Pelodiscus sinensis: one gene and its partner. The protein of the gene in region 1 interacts with the protein of each later gene in a pairwise test. Links are inferred from orthologs where the notes say so. Each region holds a gene or a part of one and is shown on either strand. Other genes may lie near its edges.

Region 1 (8,931 bases):
TTTTAAGACACTTTATTCCCTTAAATTTATTAAGATATGCTAGTGTTTGTATTTCTTTAAGAAGGTACTGCTATTTCTGAAGCAGTATATATTTAAACATTTGATGTAGTGGTTACCATGGTAAGTATACATCTCTTGTTGAATTCCAGATTAATCCATGCATAAAGCCAATACTCACATAGCTAGCCTTTGCAAGTTACTTTCCTTGTCCGATCATGTAACACTGACATTAAATGCAATTTATAATTCAGATTACAATTTTATCCACATTAAAACTATTCAGAACAGTTCAGATTAAAAAATAGGAATAAAACTGAGTAATGCTTTTTAGCTTGAAAGTCATAGGATAAGAGAACTAAGCATTTTGCTATGGGAACAGGCATGTTAAAAATGCCAAGATAAAAATGCTACCTATCTCCCTCACCTCAGGAAATGAAACAATACCTTCACTGTTGTCAATACCTTTCAGTAGCCTGACCTCAGAGAAAAATAACCAACTCAATCTGACTACTCCTTAAAATATAACAAAAGTCTGATTCTGCTTTCATTTACCCCAGGGTAAAATAGGAATCTTCCCTCTGCCTCATTGAAGCCAGTGGAGTTATGCCAGTATTAGAGAGCTAGGCCCATTGAACCAACATTAGGGTTATCCTGCTCCCAGAGAAATCAGTGGTGTTTTGCTACAGATTTTAATAGTAATAAGTTTTGGTACATACTTATTTTCAACCTCTTGGAATTATAAGAAACCAATCAGCTAATATCCTGAACACATCAAGCTTCCTCAGACTGGTTACTGTTTAAAGACACTATTGCTTTAGAATAGAGATGAGGAAAGTCAAGCCATATAGGAAATAAATAAAGCCTATCTTTCTCGAAAGACAGTAATATTAGTATTTCAAAATGATTTCATCACAATCATTAGAGATTCAGCAAGAGATAAGATGTGAAAATTGGAAAGGGCACACACCTTTACAGGGGGATTGCTGAGCATAATATCTTATTTCATAAGGTCAAGAGGTGATGACAATGAAAACACACCTTTGCCACAAATATACATTTCTTTACCCTTTTAAAATGCACACTGAGTAAGAAAAAAGATATCTACACTGTATATTCATAGGCTTGATCCAACAAAATAATTCCCAGTGTCTTCCCTGATTCAGGTACCAAATGGTTTGCTTTCATTATAATACACTCAATAATGCATCTAACTGTGTCCAGAAAGTTGGCTTTAATAGCCCTTTACCCTTAATTCCTTAGTAGGAACACTGGGAATACTGAACCAATTATTACAGTCTGTGGTAAAGGCCTACAGAGAGCTTACAAGCCCCTCAGGGATTTATTCTGATCTTATTTAGCCAGGTGTACCTTAGGACTAACTCATGGGCCAAATTCTTCCCTGATGTTACAGTATTCACTGAGCCAAGTGCATTTCCCCAATGTAACTAACAGAGTTACACAGGGACATATTTGCCCTAATGAAGTTATAGTGATGTAAATTAGCCCTAGGTCAGCCTCCTCCCCCCAGTATCTTTACCTAAATTTTGCACAACCACAAGCATACTGTTGTGAGCATTAGGTTAGAATTCTGATTCAGAAGGAATCAAGAAGTCAATCTCTTTACTGATGTTCCTAAAGAAGAGGTACCCGAATCAAGAATCATGTTGCTCTGGTTTCAGAAAATGATTTAATTGGTGGAATGAGGAAAGACACTGGTGGGTGATAAAGATTTATTTCATTGTGACCAAGTCAAAATATTGAAATGTCAATATATATTAAACAATTTTATATTAACCCCCCACACACATTTTCACACCACTGCAACTACAAAAAGGGCTCTCTTTGAAATAGGACTTCAGACTCCTTGAGGTTCCTGACATCACATATGTGATCACCAATGTAAGGCAATTTCCTTATTTAAAAAAACCCACCTGATTGTGCTGTCATTTTTGCTTTTTCTCCTCCCACTCTATTCTTCTGGCATAGTACTAAAATAAATGCCCTGTCCTCTAACTAGGCATGGAAACAGAAGGAAGCAGCAGTGAAATTTTACATGGAGCTCATCAGCTTTTGCCCATGGAACACATAGGCAGTTGGGATACATGAAATTTAGAAACAACCAGCAGTTCTGTGGCACCTAGAGATTAACAAATTATATATATAAGTATCATGAGCTTTGGTGGGCGAAATCACTGATGGAATTTAGAATCACTGAAAATGGACCTTTTATGCCCTGAAAAATATAAAAATTCCCTTTCCTTCTTCAAACAAGAATGTGCTCAATAAATCTCGTCTCCCACAGTCACGATCAAGCAGGTTCTGAAGAAAAGAGGCTTGGAGAGCAGCAGCAAATTTCCCTCTCCACAAGTGTCAGCGGTGACTGCGGGTAGGGAAGAGATTCCATTGACGCCCCTCTCCGCCCCCGCCCTCCTCCCCTTCAAGAGACTGCCCAGCATTTTCTTTCCACATCTGAGCCCACAAGAGCAACCCCGCTCGGGAGCAGGACCGTCCCTTCAATTCTCTCCCGGTTCCCTGCACATGTGTTTTGGGGCGGAGGGGAGTAAAGCGGTACAGGGGCTGCACAGATGAGGTCTTCACAGCCATTCTTTGCAGTCATAGAATCGCTCCTTTCCTGACACAATTTCATCTGGTACCATGGCCCCCAAAGGAAACCGCTTCCCTTCCATCCCTCCATCCCCGCTGCCGGCAGCACATCCAGCGAGCAGCGAAGGGAGCTGCTCCCTCCAGGTTCCCCGCTGCCCATGCAAGAGTCTGGAGCGTAGCGCGCTGCTGCTGGCGCTTCCCTGGTACATCCACGCTCCCGCCCCTCCACCCCCCAACCCACACGCCGCTACAAGGGGAGCACGGCGGCTGCCCCTTCCTCCAAGGCAGGCTCATACTCACATTGCAGAGCGGAGTAACAGTCCATCGGTCTCCGCTGCCCCGAGACAACCCGCGGGGATGGTTATTCCTAAGGTATCGGGGTCCACCGTTAGGAGGGGGCGGGGGGAAGGAGAAAGAGAAAAGGGGAGGGGGCGCTTTGTGGCGGGAGATCCCCCGCTAGACCATGATGTACGTGCCCTTCAGATGAACAGCTGGATGTGTCTCCACGAGGCGAAGAGTCGCGCGAGGGAAGCGCTGTGGCACAGGCAGCGTGTCCGCTGGAGTCTCTCTCCTCTCCCACCCCACAGAGCGGCCAGCGACCCAAAAATAAATAAAATAAAGAATAAAAATCTTCATCCAATAAATCCCTGGGAAGCGCGGAGGAGGGGGGGGGCCGGGCCGCCCCCTCCCCACGGTACCTGTCAGTGGGGGGTGCGGACGCGGGCCTCCACAAGGGCGTGCGGGGAGATCCGCTCCGGCTCCCGCTTGCAGAAGGGGCGGGGGGAGGCTGCGACCCGCAAGAAGACGATTCCCTCAGAGCCGCGGCGAGTCTTTCCCGCCCCGCCTCAGTGCAGCAGCTTCATTCACGCACAGGTGCAGTCATTGCGGGCGGGCGGGGAGAGGCATGTGGCTGCTCCCGCCAACCTGTCCCCTCCCCCGCTTGCCACAACGCCGCCGGGGGCCGCCGCGGCTGGACACCGACAGAGGTGGGCAGGCCGGGGGCCGCGCAGAGGCAGCGAGAGGCGATAACGCGCGAACGGCGCTTCCCCGGGCGGGCTGCGGGACCCGGCAGGAGCGAGCCAAGCAGCAGGCGCCGGCCGGCTCGAGGGAGCAGTGCCCGGAGCCGGCTCTCCGGCGCAGGAGGTGCACGGGCGGCAGCCGCCTCCTGCCAGGGCTGAGTCAACGGGAGAAGCCCCGGCGTTCAGCAGCCGCCGCCGCCGCCAGCCCCTCCCGCCCCCACACCATCCGCGTCAGAGCTCGAGAGGCTGCCGCTGCTCTAACGAGCAGGCTGCGTCCGCCTCTTCGCGCGCCTTTCGCCCGAGGCTGCGCCGGTAGAAGCACGGCCCCCCCCCCGCACCCCCAAAGGCTATAAACCCGCCTGCATCAGGACTATCTCTACCATATGGCCAACCCCCCAAATCCTGGCAGGGCACCCCGCCCTCCCCAGCTCGGCCAGGATTCTGCACTCCAGCCACTGCCCTCCCCCGGACCTGTTGCATCCTTCCACAGTCGGTCCCCTCCTACTATCTTCTCCTCCCTCCACATACGCTGCTCCCCCCATCATCCCTCAGACACATCTCTCCTTCCCCACATAGGCTGCTTCCCGCCCTCTAGCTCCTCCTCACGCACACCTCCCTGCCTAGTCCCCCACTGGCCAGTGCCACCTGTGCACCCCTCACATGGCCACTGCTTGCTTCCTCTCACTCTCGGTCACCACCACCCTTCATGGGTCCTACTCTTCACCAAGCTGCTGCTTCTTCCTCTCACTGTGTCCTCCAGCTTCCCACCTTCCATCACTGCTGTTTCCTTCACCCCCTAAGGAGCTCCTGGTCATCCTCCTCTCAGAGCTTCCTCCCTCCTTGTATCCCCATGGAGGTCCTTACTGCTTTCTCCCCACATTCCTCTAAACCCTACACCTTTGCTGCTGCCTCACTCCCTCCAGTCCCTCAAGAAAGGCTATAAATCCTCCTGTCAGGGTGGTCAAATATTGGAATAAATTGCCAAGGGAGGTGGTGGAATCTCCCTCTCTGGAGATATTTAAGAACAGGTTAGATAGACATCTGTCAGGGATGGTGTAGACGGAGCTTGGTCCTGCCTTGAGGACTCGATGACCTCTTGAGGTCCCTTCCAGTCCTATTATTCTATGATTCTATGAACCTCTAACAGACAGCAGGCCTGTACACAGGAATTTCTTTGTGGGGTGCTTTTTTTGTAAATGTGGACCTCGATTTTTTAAATATAAAGGAGTTCAAAATAGTCATGCAAGGAGTATGCATCAGAGAGGTTAATGAAAACTTTGAGTGGAAACACTGATTGTTAAAATGATTTTATTATAATATACAACAATCTATACAGTAATAAAGGTTTTATAGAAATTACCTTCTGGAATCATGGTGGGCAGCGCAGCTGGCATGGCTCCCTGCTCCCTTGCTGCTGCTCTACCTGCTTGGCAGGGCCAGTGCTAGATGAGTGCAGGTGGGGCATCTAGCCAGCATGGCCAGGATCGCGCTGCTTCTTGTGGGTGGGTGCACCATTCCTCTGGTCATGCTGCACTGCAATTAGCCCTGCCCACCCATCCCCCCACAACACAGCTCTCTCCCATTCCCCTAACACAGTGGTTCTAAAACCTTTTGGCCTGCAGCCCACCTGGCACAATGCAAATCTTTCCGCAGACCACCAGCTACTATTGGAAACTAGACGTTAATTACATAATTATGCCTGAGCCATATTGCTAGTGCTGCAGCTAGGGAAAGTGGTTTAATTTAACCAGTAAGACTGGAAATATTAATTTAAGTTATTAAACAGACTAAATGCTTCAACTTTCTTTTGTTAGCTTATCAAACTTCGTTTTAAATAAAGTAAATAATTTATGTCCAACACAAAACGGTTCCCTTGTTTTCTTTATTTATGGCAGGGGTGAGAACCTTTTTTGGGTCAGGGGCCTCTCCCCCACAGAAAAAATCAGTTGGGGACCACACAAGTGAGAAGCAACAACAACAAAAAAACACCTCCAAAAACTCCCAACTCTCACTGATGTGGCCCCCAACTGAGACACCTTACTCCCCTGGTGCTCCAATCCCACCAAGAGAGGGAGTGGGAGAGGGAGAACAGAGGTTCAGGGCTTCCCATAGGCCAAACTTACTCTTCTGGCGTTCCAGGGTTAGTGGATTTTGGGGACCCCCCAGGCTCTGGGGTTGGTACAAAAATGGGGGTTCAATATGCTGGACAGGGCTGCCAGTTAGTGGAATGAGGGTGCAGGTTCTGGGAGGGAGGTGAGGTGCAGGAGGGTGTGAGGGTGCGAGGTCTGAATGGGAGGTAGGGTGCAGGAGCAGACTGGGAGTAGGATGTCTGGCCATGGGAAGGGGGTCAGACCAAGGCAAGGTGCAATGTGTGGTCAGGAGGGTGGGTGCAGTAGTGGGCTGAGGATAGGGTGTCTGGCCAGGGGAAGTGTGCAGGAGCATCTCAAAAACATTCGTTGCTGTCGTTCAGAAAAAGGTTGTTCTCTACAGTATCGTGGACAGTTCCACAGATAGTTTGAAGACTACAGCCAAGACTTCAAATCTGAAGAATTATTCTTTGTTGAGCCTGTACATCAAACAGATGTTATATTAATGGACAATATATCATCTCAGTGGTTGGTATTGCTGAGGACTAACAAACTCATTTAAAGGTGAAGCATTCATACCTAGAATGGGTCACAATAGGCGTAGATCATACTGCCCATAATCCATGTTTATAAAATGTGTGGTCTCTTGACAAGTCACATAGAGGTGATTGTTTTGGTTTTGTTTGTTTGTTTGTTTGTTTGTGTGTGTTTGTTTGTTGCAGCTGTTTTAATCTGAATGTCCAGCAGCAATGAGGAGTCATTTGATAATCTGAGGGCAGATACCTTCAGGAGAGGGTGAGATTTTATGTTTTCAAACCATATTCTTCTTTCCACCCTTACCATCATCTCTTTTGCCTGAATTCAGTTTTAGCCACCTGGTTGTCTTGTCATTGTCACTGTAGAAGAATATCTGGGAGATGATGCCATCTGTGTTGGAGGAAAAAAGATGTATAGCAGTAGATTGTCTTCATACTGCTGGCATTTGAAACCATGCTGTCTCAAACCCTTCCCCTCCCCCATAGTTTCATGTAGAACTTTAAAAGGATGGGGATAATGATTCTCATGGAACCTCCCAGGTGAGCATTCCTGATGTAGAGGAGTTGCCTGTCTATCCCCCTACTGCACCATTGATCAGGAGCTACTAGAGATAAGCCTCTGTCCAGATAACCCTCTGTCCCAGCCCTGATCCCCTCCCCCCAAACCCAGAGCCCCCTCTGCATCCCATACTCCTCATTCCTGGTCTCATAAGAACGGCCCCCTGTGCACTCTGTTTGTGTGACAAACTGAGAGCGCTCACCTGAAGATCCCTCCCCAGCGTCAGATGAGGCCTGGAAGATGTCCTGGCTGACAGGCAACAGGGACAGGGTGACAGTGTCCGTCTTCTACTACTGTCCCTGGTCCTTCTCCTTCCCCTCCTCCTTTGAGCCGGGTGATGACAGCGGTCTTGAGGCCCCTAAGGATCTGTGGGAGCTCTTGATAGTAGGGGCAGGTGTGGGATCCTGCCCCTGAGTGCAACCTGCGCTCTCTGGCCCCGATGTGTCCCTGATGGAGTTCTTTGACCTTACTCTGGACCTGTTCTAAGTTCCGGGGTGAGTGTTCACACTCCGCCAGGGACTTGGTCATGTGCTCAAAGATGTTTGCATTGCAGTGCTTGGAGCAGAGATCCTGCAATGTCTCCTCCTCGGCCTACAGATCAAGGAGGGACAGAATCTCTGCTACGGACCAGGAGGATGCCCGCCTCTTGATCCCCCAGGTGGGTCCTGGGACCCCTGGGGTTGCTCCCTGTGAGGGCTAGAGGAGTCTCTGGGGTTTGTGGCTGTGCCATCAGAGAGCAGGCCTGTGGCAGGGAGATCCACGTGGTCAGAGTGCTGCTCCAAGTCCAGCTTCCTACCACAAGGCTTGACCAGGATGCCTGCAGCTTTAAGAGTAGCCAGAAGACAAGAACTATAGAGTTGTGATTACTTTGGACAAAGTAGCCACCAGGGCACCTGTGTTATTTCCTGGAGGCTTCTTCGACAGAAAACCGTCCTCCCTGTTCACACCCACCTGTTTCCGAAAGAGCTCTTTCAGAAAAGGCATTCTTCCTCATAAAAAGAGGAATACCACTGTCAGAAAAGCCCCTCTGTTCTTTCAATTTACTTTTGAAAGAATGTGATTGCAATGTGGACGTAATTCAAGTTTTGTCAGAAAAATGGCCGTTTTTCCAACAAAACTCTGTAGTGTATACATACCCCCAGAGATATTTATTGTTAAGTCACTTTTCCAGTGTATAGAAAGGCCCTTTCTAGCTCACACCTGTGGGAGTCTTACATAATTTGAGGCAGAGGCAATATCTGTAAACAAAATGGTGGGAGGGAGAAGCAGGAACTATTGAATACCAGGTGCAATTTGTGCATTTGAGAAGGTATTGAAGCATTTCAAAACAAATGTCACGATGGGCAGGGGTAGCAGAGAGAATTCATGTTTGCACAGAGCAGTGGCTTGCAAACTTTTTTTTCTTGCAACCCAGTTGAAGGGGGACCAAGAAGGGAGCCAGGATAGGTAGGAATGGTGTCCCTAACTTCTGTTTGTCTGGAAATGGATGACAGGAGAGGGCTCACATGATGATTACCTGTTGTGTTCACTCCCTCTGGGGCATCTGGCATTGGCCACTGTCGGCAGACAGGATTCTGGGCTAGATGGACCTTTGGTCTAACCCAGTATGACAATTCTTAAGTTCTTATGAGACCAGGAATGAGGGGTATGGGATGCAGAGGGGTAGAAAAGCTTTCAGGATTGACTATCGAAAGACTATTCAACTAATCATTCCACTGTGGCAGTCACATTACACCAGCAGCAGTTCCCAGAGCCATTCTTTCTTTGGAAGAGAGTCAAAGGCAGATTCTCTCCAGAGATTATGAGTGTAAGTGCACAAAGGAGCAGGAACAGACATTTTCATTAGGTGCAGAGTATCAACAATGCCTCTTTTGGAGTGATTAGAACCTCCAGTGGAATTAACCCCTTCCCATTATTGGTGTTCCTGGCAATCAAGCAGTTGAATTATGAAGACCTCCTGGACCAGCACACATGGTATTATTATTATAATAACAATAAAGAGATCCCTCTGGTCTCTTCTCTCACACACCTGTGTGATAAGAGCCAGAATGTGGCCCAATCACCTCATGCCAACCACATTCTGTGGAAAAAAAGAGTTTGGTCCTAGCAAACAGTTAGATGGGGAG
Region 2 (8,972 bases), on another chromosome or scaffold:
TACAGATACCAGCACCAGATAAAAAGTTAAAGCAGCCCTGCCAAGAGGGCATCACGAACACCAAGAATTGATTTAATAAGAATATAAATACACTTGAAACAATTGTGATCTCATTCAGAAACTTATTCATGAATGTATACGGAGGACAGGCTCCCATTTGCTGTTGAAGAGCCTGTTTTTGCAAACCTTACTTGCTGAGTAGTCTACAAGGTACTAAATAGCATCAAGTTCCATGGAGCTGAAGGGCCACTTAGCACTGTAGACTTGGGGTAAAATTTTCAAAGGCACCCAAGTCCGATGGGACTTGAAGTGCCCTAGTTGCTTTAGAAAATGTTACCTTACAGCCCCATTCAAGCACCGATGGAGCTAGGACATTTCTGATCCTAATGTGCATAGCTCCAAAATGACTCATTCTCTCAATACCAAAGAAAATGATCTCTTTTTACCTGCCATTTTACACAAAGCCTTTAACAGTCTTCCTCTTTAGAACATCCAATATTTCCTGTAGCAGACTCCCAAAAGAGATGTGCTCATTGGAGACACGCCATAACCGCGAAAAAGGCAGGCTTTTCCTATCGGCACCACCTTGCTGAAAGTACTCTCTGAATCTGAAACAAAAGGATGCAGGATGCAAAAGAATAATTAAGAAACAAGTGTGGATGTATAGATTGTACTGTAAGTACAAGGAGCTATATGATGGTGTAGAGTGTGAAGATTTTATCAATGTAATTTTTGGATGGCTGCTTTAGTCACTGGTGGTGAAGTGACAGGTAAGTTATATACATCATATTCACATATAGATACATATTGGGGCAGAAGGATTGGTATGCTCTGGCTACTTACAATGCTCCAGCAAAACATCTATAAACCAGTGTTTCTCAACCTTTTTTTAAATAAAATACCTCTTTAAAAAAATGGTAAGTACACCCAGTACATAGTTTTCAGACAAATATTTTCTCTACCATTGCAACACATTTGTTTAAACAACTTAATTGTAGCCAGGTGGGCAATGCATGTTTTGGATGTAAAAAGTACAAAAATAATAAGACACTGAAACTTAAACCAAAAATTCAGTTCTCCAAATTTCAGTTGTGGTGACGTACCCCCCAGACTTCTCTCAAGTACCCCTAAGGGTTGAGAAACACTGCTATAAACCCACTTTAACTGTCTGGTTAAGCTAGATTTATAGCTGCTTTCATGAGTGTCTACACAACAATGAATTTTACTACTTTGGAAGGCGCTAATTCTTCTAATAGCTTCTAACAACATTTCAACATAATTTCTCTCAAACTCTCCATGCCTGAGCATATAGTATATTTATATTAAGTACTCATTGAATTGTTTAATCACAGGTACATATTGAAACCTGCATTTCAGTTTCAAACATCCGCCTTTAAAACACTAGAATCCAGCCTGAAGGCACTTTGCAACCAAATCACTGACTTGTGGGGTCAGAGTATAACCACTTCCTCACCCTGGTGAACATTCTCACGCAGATACATGTAGCTATAACTGCTCATCAAGATGTGTTAAAAGTGTTACCAAATGCCCCTTTGTGTTTTCCTGTAATTAAAATTATAGACTAAATGGATGCTATATATTGTGAAAAGAAGCCTTATCCTGTGAATAGCTTCACTCAAATCCATGGGACTACTTACAGAGTAAGATACTTTTCATTATGAGTAAGAATCACAGACTGGCCCAGAAAGTCCTAATTTGTATATGTTACTTGTATTGTCATAGCCTGTAATAAAACATTTTAAACTGATCTCCATGAAAGCAGATGGGGTTCTGACTTCTGCTCACCCTGTTTTTCTTCCCAGTTAAAATACCACAATAGGGCAAGCATGTGTGTGTGTGCAAGGTTGTCACTTAGTGTAAGCCCAGTACATCTGTTTTATAGATCTGCAGAGACTTTCCTAAGTTTTTCCAACCATCCTCTTGGCACCCTGGACACTTCTGTTGTGCAACGTTTGCATGTCACCTGCTGCCTGGCTCCTTTTGTGTGTAAAGTTCAAACCCACCAGCACCATTTCCAACCCAACCTACTGCACTGTTATAAAGATTCTTCATCTTCGCTGCAAAAAAATGTGTTGTGTTTTTTTACATGAAGGTACAAGTGACAATCGAGTTTGCCAGTTTTACTTAGACTCATTCCCGGAGGTTTCAGCACATGACCATCTTTAATTAAAGATCAATATTAAATTCCTGGAGACCCCAGGCCAGCCTTAGAGACTCTCAGTTTCAATATCACAACATTTTGCTGTGAAGACACAGCCCCAAGCTGTCTGTACAGTGTGTAGCACATCACATGAAAGCTGCATGCATCTCAGGCTTGGTCTACACTACAGAATTAGCTAGGCAGTTTATGTTGACATAATTATGTCAGTGTCTACACTACAGCCTTGCTCCAGCTGTTGTAAGTGACCATCTACCCCCACATAATATTGCCACCTCCAGGAGAGGCAGGGGCTTATGTCAGTAAAGTTAGGGAACACAGTGTCCATGTAGACACTGCATTACTTCATCAGCAGTTGAGTGTCACTCTTGTCAATTTCATGGCTCCATGCATGGATGGTGGGTAGAATAAGCCAGGGGAGGCTAAGCCACCCCAAACAAGATGTGGCACACCTCCCTTTGGAAGCATGCCACAGGCCTGCTGCCTCTAGTGTGCTGCCCACACTCTGCCCTAGGCCTCGCTCCTGCGTCGCACTCTTCTCCCATGGCTCTGCCCACGCTGCTCCTCTTCTTGCTCCCTGTCTGTCTCTCCCCTCTTCCAAGGCCCCATCCTCACTCTTCCCTCACAGACATCTCCCCTCTCCACTCCTCACACCTCTCCAGCACTTCCCCTGTAGTTCCCCCATCTTTGCTCCTCCCTCACAGCCCCTCCACCCACTACTCATGCCTCTTCACCCCGAGAGGGAGAGAGGAGTGGGTGGCAGGTGGGGAGGCCTCTTAGAGGTGCAGGTGGAGAGAGGCATGATGGACAGGTTGTGTGGGGACCTTGGGGGATGTGGCCCACCAGGGCTTGGGGCAGAGTGGGGGTTGGCAGTGGAGCAGGGGGCAGGACCATGCTCTGAGCATGGGTGCCTCCCCTTCTAGGGAGCTTCTAGCACTCAGGGCCCACCTCCCCAAATATGGAGGTCATGCACCACCCACGCTCCATGCCTGGGCCGGTAGTGGGCTCCTGCTACAGGCCAGCAGCACTCCATTCCAGCTGCCTGATCCCAGCTGGGCTACTGCTTGTGCTCCCTGCTGGAAGCTCTGCTGCCCCCAGGATACCCGATCCCAGCCAGGCTGCTGCTCAGGCTCCCCATGCCCAGCTCCCCACTCCTAGAGGCAAGAGGCCCTGGCTTCCAGCTACCCTGCCCCACCACTGCTGCTCTTCAGGTGGAAGCCCTCCTGGTAAGGGCACACCACTGACAGAAGAAGGGTGTTGTAGAGACCAGCTACCACAATAATTACTACAATGGCTGCAAAGTCGGCCTAACACGTCAGCTGCAGCATAGAGATGCCCCCAGTGTTTGCAGACTGGGCCTTTCTTACCTGTATCTGGGTCACAAGGAAAGAAGCTTGTTCCTGGATGAAAGTGAAGCTGCAGCTCTTTGGAAAGGACTGTGAGAGAGAGAGAGGCATGCAGCCAGTCCTGCCTGCAAATGAAACTCCCCCCTGTTGGGAGCCCTCTCCCTCTCCCTCTCCCTCCTTTCAGTGTTACAGCTGCAGAATTAGACCAATAGGAGGGTGTTAGGCACACACTCCCCACCTCCACGAGTGCCAGCAGGGACCCACATGATTGGCTCCCTATTGATTCTGCTGATTCTGTCTAGCTCCTGTCTCTCTGCCCCCTGGCAGGTCACCAGAGGCTCTCCCCACCCCCTGGTTACTGGGCCCACACTCAAGGCTCTTGGAGCTCTGCTGATTCACTCTGCAGGCAGCCTCCTCCAAGGGATGCATGATCTTCAGCAGCTGTGACACAACTTTAAAGGCAAGGATGTGAATTTCCATATTGCCCTCTGATCCCAGACCCCCTGGAAGGCTCCCTAACATACCGGCTCCCGACACACAACTCTTCATTAGGGGTAGATCAATCCATGTTCCCAGCTTCACAGACGAATGTGGGTTAGTGGTCCTCAACCCAAAAAAGGTTGCTCACCCGTGATTTAAATGTTAAATTCTCCTTTTGATCTCTGAATTAACAGAATACAGCATAGACTGGGACTGTGTGATTACATCGTTAACCTCTAACAATACATAGATAAACACACACAAAAAACCCCACAAATATTATTTACTGATATGTCTCTAACCATTGAATCTGGGTCATTTACCCTGGAATGTACTTAACTTTTTCTTGCTACGTGTCACTGCTGAAATATTAAGTAAGAGGCTGGATGCTAAGGTCCTTGCTTATTGACATAACGGGAGGTTGTGTGGCCTACTGGATAATGCCCTCGACTGGTACGCTAAAGACTTGGATTCTATTCACAATGCTGTCACTGGTATGCTGGGTTAACTTTGACAAGTCACTTCTCACCTCAGTTTCCTCATCTGTAAAATGGTGATAATGATACCTCCCTTTGTAAAGTGATTTTGAGATCTGTTGATGAAAGGCACTACATAAGTGTTATTTATATTAGTGTACTGAAGGCAATTGGAGTTCCTTTGAGGCACACTGAATAAAATAATGGATCTGGCTTAAAGTCCTTAAAAATCGTATCTATTTTGTTTTTAGCTTATGCAAACTAGCAAGCTGAAAAGTATATTTTTTTCTTTGTGGTGTGTATACACTCTAGATCAGAGGTCAGCAGCCTTTTCAAACCAAAGAGCCAAACTACATCAACATTCAGAACAAGTGGTCAACAAAGAGCCGTACAAGAATACCCATTTACATGACTTAAAATATACAACTTAATATTATTGATGACTGACATGATGATTAATAGCATAAAGTAAACATTTTACTCAGACTTCATTTTATGGGACTTCCGCTGCTGCTGGGTATGCAGGAGTCCAGGTGCAGGAGTCTGCAGGTTGCAGGAGTCTGTGGCGGTGGATGTGGGGGTTCAGAAGTCCAGGTTGGGTTGTATGAGGGTCTCAGAGCAAGGCATTGGGGCGTGTGGGAAGTGCCAGAGGCAGGACGGGGCACTGTGGGTGGGAAATAAAGTAAGTGGAAGGGTCTTGGGCCGGATTACTTTAGCTGGCTGGGGCTAGGCTGCTGCACCCAGGCAGCAGTGGCTGGACAAGGGGCTGGGCCAGGAAGGCCACCGCAGGATCGTGGCCTCCCCTCCTACCCATGTCACAGCAGAAGGAGAACCGCCACCAGCACTTCCTGCAGCCAGATGGGGGCTGGACCGCGGGGCCTGCTCCAGGTTTGGGGCTAGGGACAGGACGCTATGGCCGGATGGGGTCTGGCATTGTTGGCCAGAATTTATTTTAAATAAAGTAAAATATTATGTCCAACGCTAAAGGTTTCAACATTGTCTTTATTTATGGCAGGGGTGGGGAAACTTTTTTGTGTCAGGGTTCACTGACCTACAGAAAAATCAGTCAGGGACCACACAAGTGAGAAGCAAAAAAAACCCTCCAAAACCCCCCAAACCTCACTGATGTGTCCCCCAACTGAAACACCTCACTCCCTGGTGCTCCATCCCCATCGTTGAGTGAGGGCAGGGAGAACTGAGGTTCAAGGCCTCTTCAGGCCAGATTAACTCTGCTGGGGTTCCAGGGTTAGAGGATTTTGTGGGCCCCCCTAGGTCCTGGATGCGGACAAAAATGAGGGGTTCAGTGTGCAAGACAGGGCTGTCGGTGAGTGGGATAAGGAAGGGGTGCAAGAAGCGGGGAGAGGGTGTGAGGTAGAGTGCAGGAGCAAGCTGGGAGTAGGGTGCATAGCCAGGAGAAGGAGGCAGGAGCAAGGGAGAGTGCAGGAGCAGGCTGGGGGGCAGAGTGTCTGGCCATGAGGGAGGGTGCAGGAGCAGGGGAGTATGGAGGAACAGGCTGGTGGTAGGGTGTGTGGCCAAGGGCAGGGAGGTGAAGGAGCATACTGCGGGGCAAGGTGTCTGGCCAGGAGGGAGGTCCAGGAGCAAGGGAGGGTGCAGGAGTGGGCTGGGGATATGAGGTCTTAGTGGAGGGTGTGTGTGAGTGGGCTGGGGGTGCAGGGTCTCAGCAGGGTGGTGAGTGAGGGGGCAGAGGGTGCAGGGTCTGATTTGGGAGAAGAGAGGGGCACTTACTTGCTTTTGCACCGCTGCCAGCACCATTTCCCAGGCATGGCCTTCTGCTACTCCCATTGGCAGGATTCTCCAGGAAGCACATCCATGCGCTGCTGTCCCCCAGCTCGGGGAAGGAAAAGGAAGCAGCAGCATGTGGAGCCGCTTCTAGCTCTGCTTCTTCCCTGCAATCTGGATCTGACAGGGAGGCACAGGGCTTCCCCCCCACCTCCCACAGGAAGCCAGTCCTGGTGCTCCAATTTTTCAGGGGGGTCGCAAGGCTGGAGTGCCAGCACAGGCTCCCTGTTGAAGGGGGGGTTGAGCTCGAGCTGCAAGGAGCCATATCTGGCTCCCTAATGAGCCATATTTGACTTGAGAGCCATAGGTTGCTGACCCTTGCTCTGGCTGATGTAAAGGTAGGGAAACTAAAGGAAAGCTGCCAGTATGGTATATCCTGTACCAGGGGAGGGGAGCAATAATATATTAGAAATGCATCTTTCCTCTTTCCATACATAATAATATTTCAAAAAGATCATGTCTCCTTCGTTTCCCTCCCTTCATTCCTTGCCCTGAATAATAGGGATGGGTTAAAAAAATTTCCTATTTGCCCCTAGCAAAAAATGTTCTAAACGCATGCTATGGCTCTGTCAGGGCATTCATGGAGAATGCTGCTTTATCATTCTGCCTGGGGCTGCTTCCCTTCTGCCCTTCATCTATGCTTTGTGCCTTGATCCTGTAACTGACTCTGCACAGGCTGACTCCTCTGGCCACTTATATAACCCCTCTGACTTCCGTGACGTAACATGCAGGTGCACCTGGGCAGAACCAGTGAGCGGATCTAGCCCTTAAATCAGTCAGGGAGTCAGGGGCTGCACACAAGTGAGGGGCCTGGGTGGGGCCCAGGCTAGTAGATTGTGTGCTACAGCCAGCTGGGGAACAGCTGGGGGGCTGGAGCACTAGTGTGGGCTCCCCAGTGCTGGGGGGGGGGCAAGTGAGCCTTGGGGGCCAGATTCAGGCAAGCTGGGAGCTGCATCTGGCCACCTCTGCCTTAAATGGTAAGGTATTTGATACAGGGGCTGGCCCAGACCCTCAGCATCTAGCTGACGTTTTAGGCTTATAAGTCCTCCTGATAGGTGCCATGATAGTTTTAAAGATATCATTCAGCTGCTGCCTAACCCCTTGGGTGTGTAAGTCCTCTAGGCATGTAAGCTTCTGTTAGTCAGCATTTGCTAAGCCACCCTACACCCAACAGGCAGCTTGGAGTCCGCAGCCCTGAAATGGGTTTCCCAAGCTAGACGGGAAAGCTTATCTCACCAGCATGACCCAGTTCAGTAAATGTGCCCTGTGCACGTCTCAGACCTGACACCTGTCCTACCCCACAATGGTAGGAAGCTGAACCTCACCATACAAAGACAGCTGGGGGCACAGGGAAACGCAGGGCAAGTGTGAGAGAGGTGTTGGGCATGAGCAGGAGACAGAGGGGGTTTCAGTTGCTATTCCTAGGCCTACTTCAGTGGCTTAACTGCTCCTGAGTGATGAGAGGTGCATGTCTATCTCTGCTCCAACAGCCAGGCCCATTAGGTCACCTGTGTAGGTGCCTCTCCTCTCCCTTCCCTCCTGCTTGGCATTACACTCCTGGCTAACTTTGGCTGCTCCCCATGCAGCTTGCTGATTTCTGAGGATCCCTGTTCATTCTAGCATTGTTGTCGTCGTCATCAGCTCTTCGGTCTAGCAGCGAAAGCTATAACATGAACCAATGGCTGGATGATGAATCTAGACAAATTCCAACTGGAGCTAAGATGTAAATATTTACCAGTGAGAGTTGGACCAATTTACCAACCTCATGCTGAATTCTCCTTTACTGACAATTTTAAAATTTAAGATCAGCTCTAGGAATTCTCTTGGGGCAGTTTTCTGGACTGTATTACACAGCAGACCAGACCATATGGTCACAATCTACGAACCTCTGGGAGGCCTGGGTACAGGGGCGGATATAGGGCAGGGCGAACGGGACGGCCGCCCCGGGCCCCGCGCTTCAGAAAGCCCCGCGCATGCGCTGTGGCAAAGGGGGGGCCCCACGGAATTATGCTGCCCGGGGCCCCGCAAAACGGTCATCTGCCCCTGCCTGGGTAGCTAACTTGGGGCTGAGGATTCCACTAGCATTAGGGAGACAAAGTGGAGGGAGGTCATGTCTTTTATTAGACCAGCCTCTGTTGGGGAGTGAAACAAGCTTTCGAGCCACACGGCGCTCATCTTCACCAACGGAAGTAAAAGATGGAACCTCACCCAGCTTTTGTCTCTCATATCCTGGAACTAACAAAGCTACTGCAAACAATGCCACTAGGTGTCAGGCCAGTAGGGTATGTCTACAATGCAAAGAAATAACAATAAAAAACCCAGCAGCAGTGATTCTCAGTGAGTCTGGCTTGCTCTATGGTGGGAGGAAAATAGTAGTGCAGATGTTCTGGCTTAGGTCAGAGCTTAGTCTCAGAGATTTCCCCTCGTATCTCCCTTGCTGGGTTTCAGAGCTCAAGCTTCTGCCTGAGCGGAAACATCTACACTGCTATTTTTAGCTCTATAGCACAAGCCCGAATCTACACACCCGCATGGTGAGACTCGCTGCTTCAGATTTTTAGTTTACATATTGTTTTGTAGTATAAACGTACTCATGCAGATTAGATGTTGGTACACTGGGGGGAGCATGCCCTAAATGCCTTTGAAGATCTCGGCCTTTGTCTTTACATTTGCCCCTAGTGCATGTAGCACAGT

What was found.
Region 2: the proteins of LRRC7 (region 1) and NQO2 interact in a two-hybrid assay, tested with the Homo sapiens proteins (2 studies listed by BioGRID). The two-hybrid records come from large-scale screens. The link is inferred for Pelodiscus sinensis from reciprocal best matches to the Homo sapiens genes LRRC7 and NQO2.

What each region holds. Positions count from the first base shown.
Region 1 is NC_134719.1:20,439,999-20,448,929, reverse strand, and holds the start of LRRC7 (leucine-rich repeat-containing protein 7), read right to left. Parts: upstream 3,867-8,931; 5' UTR 2,905-3,866; intron 1-2,904.
Region 2 is NC_134712.1:115,498,851-115,507,822, forward strand, and holds the start of NQO2 (ribosyldihydronicotinamide dehydrogenase [quinone]), read right to left. Parts: upstream 3,702-8,972; 5' UTR 3,547-3,701; intron 609-3,546; 5' UTR 454-608; coding exon 447-453; intron 1-446. UniProt on the Homo sapiens protein: The enzyme apparently serves as a quinone reductase in connection with conjugation reactions of hydroquinones involved in detoxification pathways as well as in biosynthetic processes such as the vitamin K-dependent gamma-carboxylation of glutamate residues in prothrombin synthesis.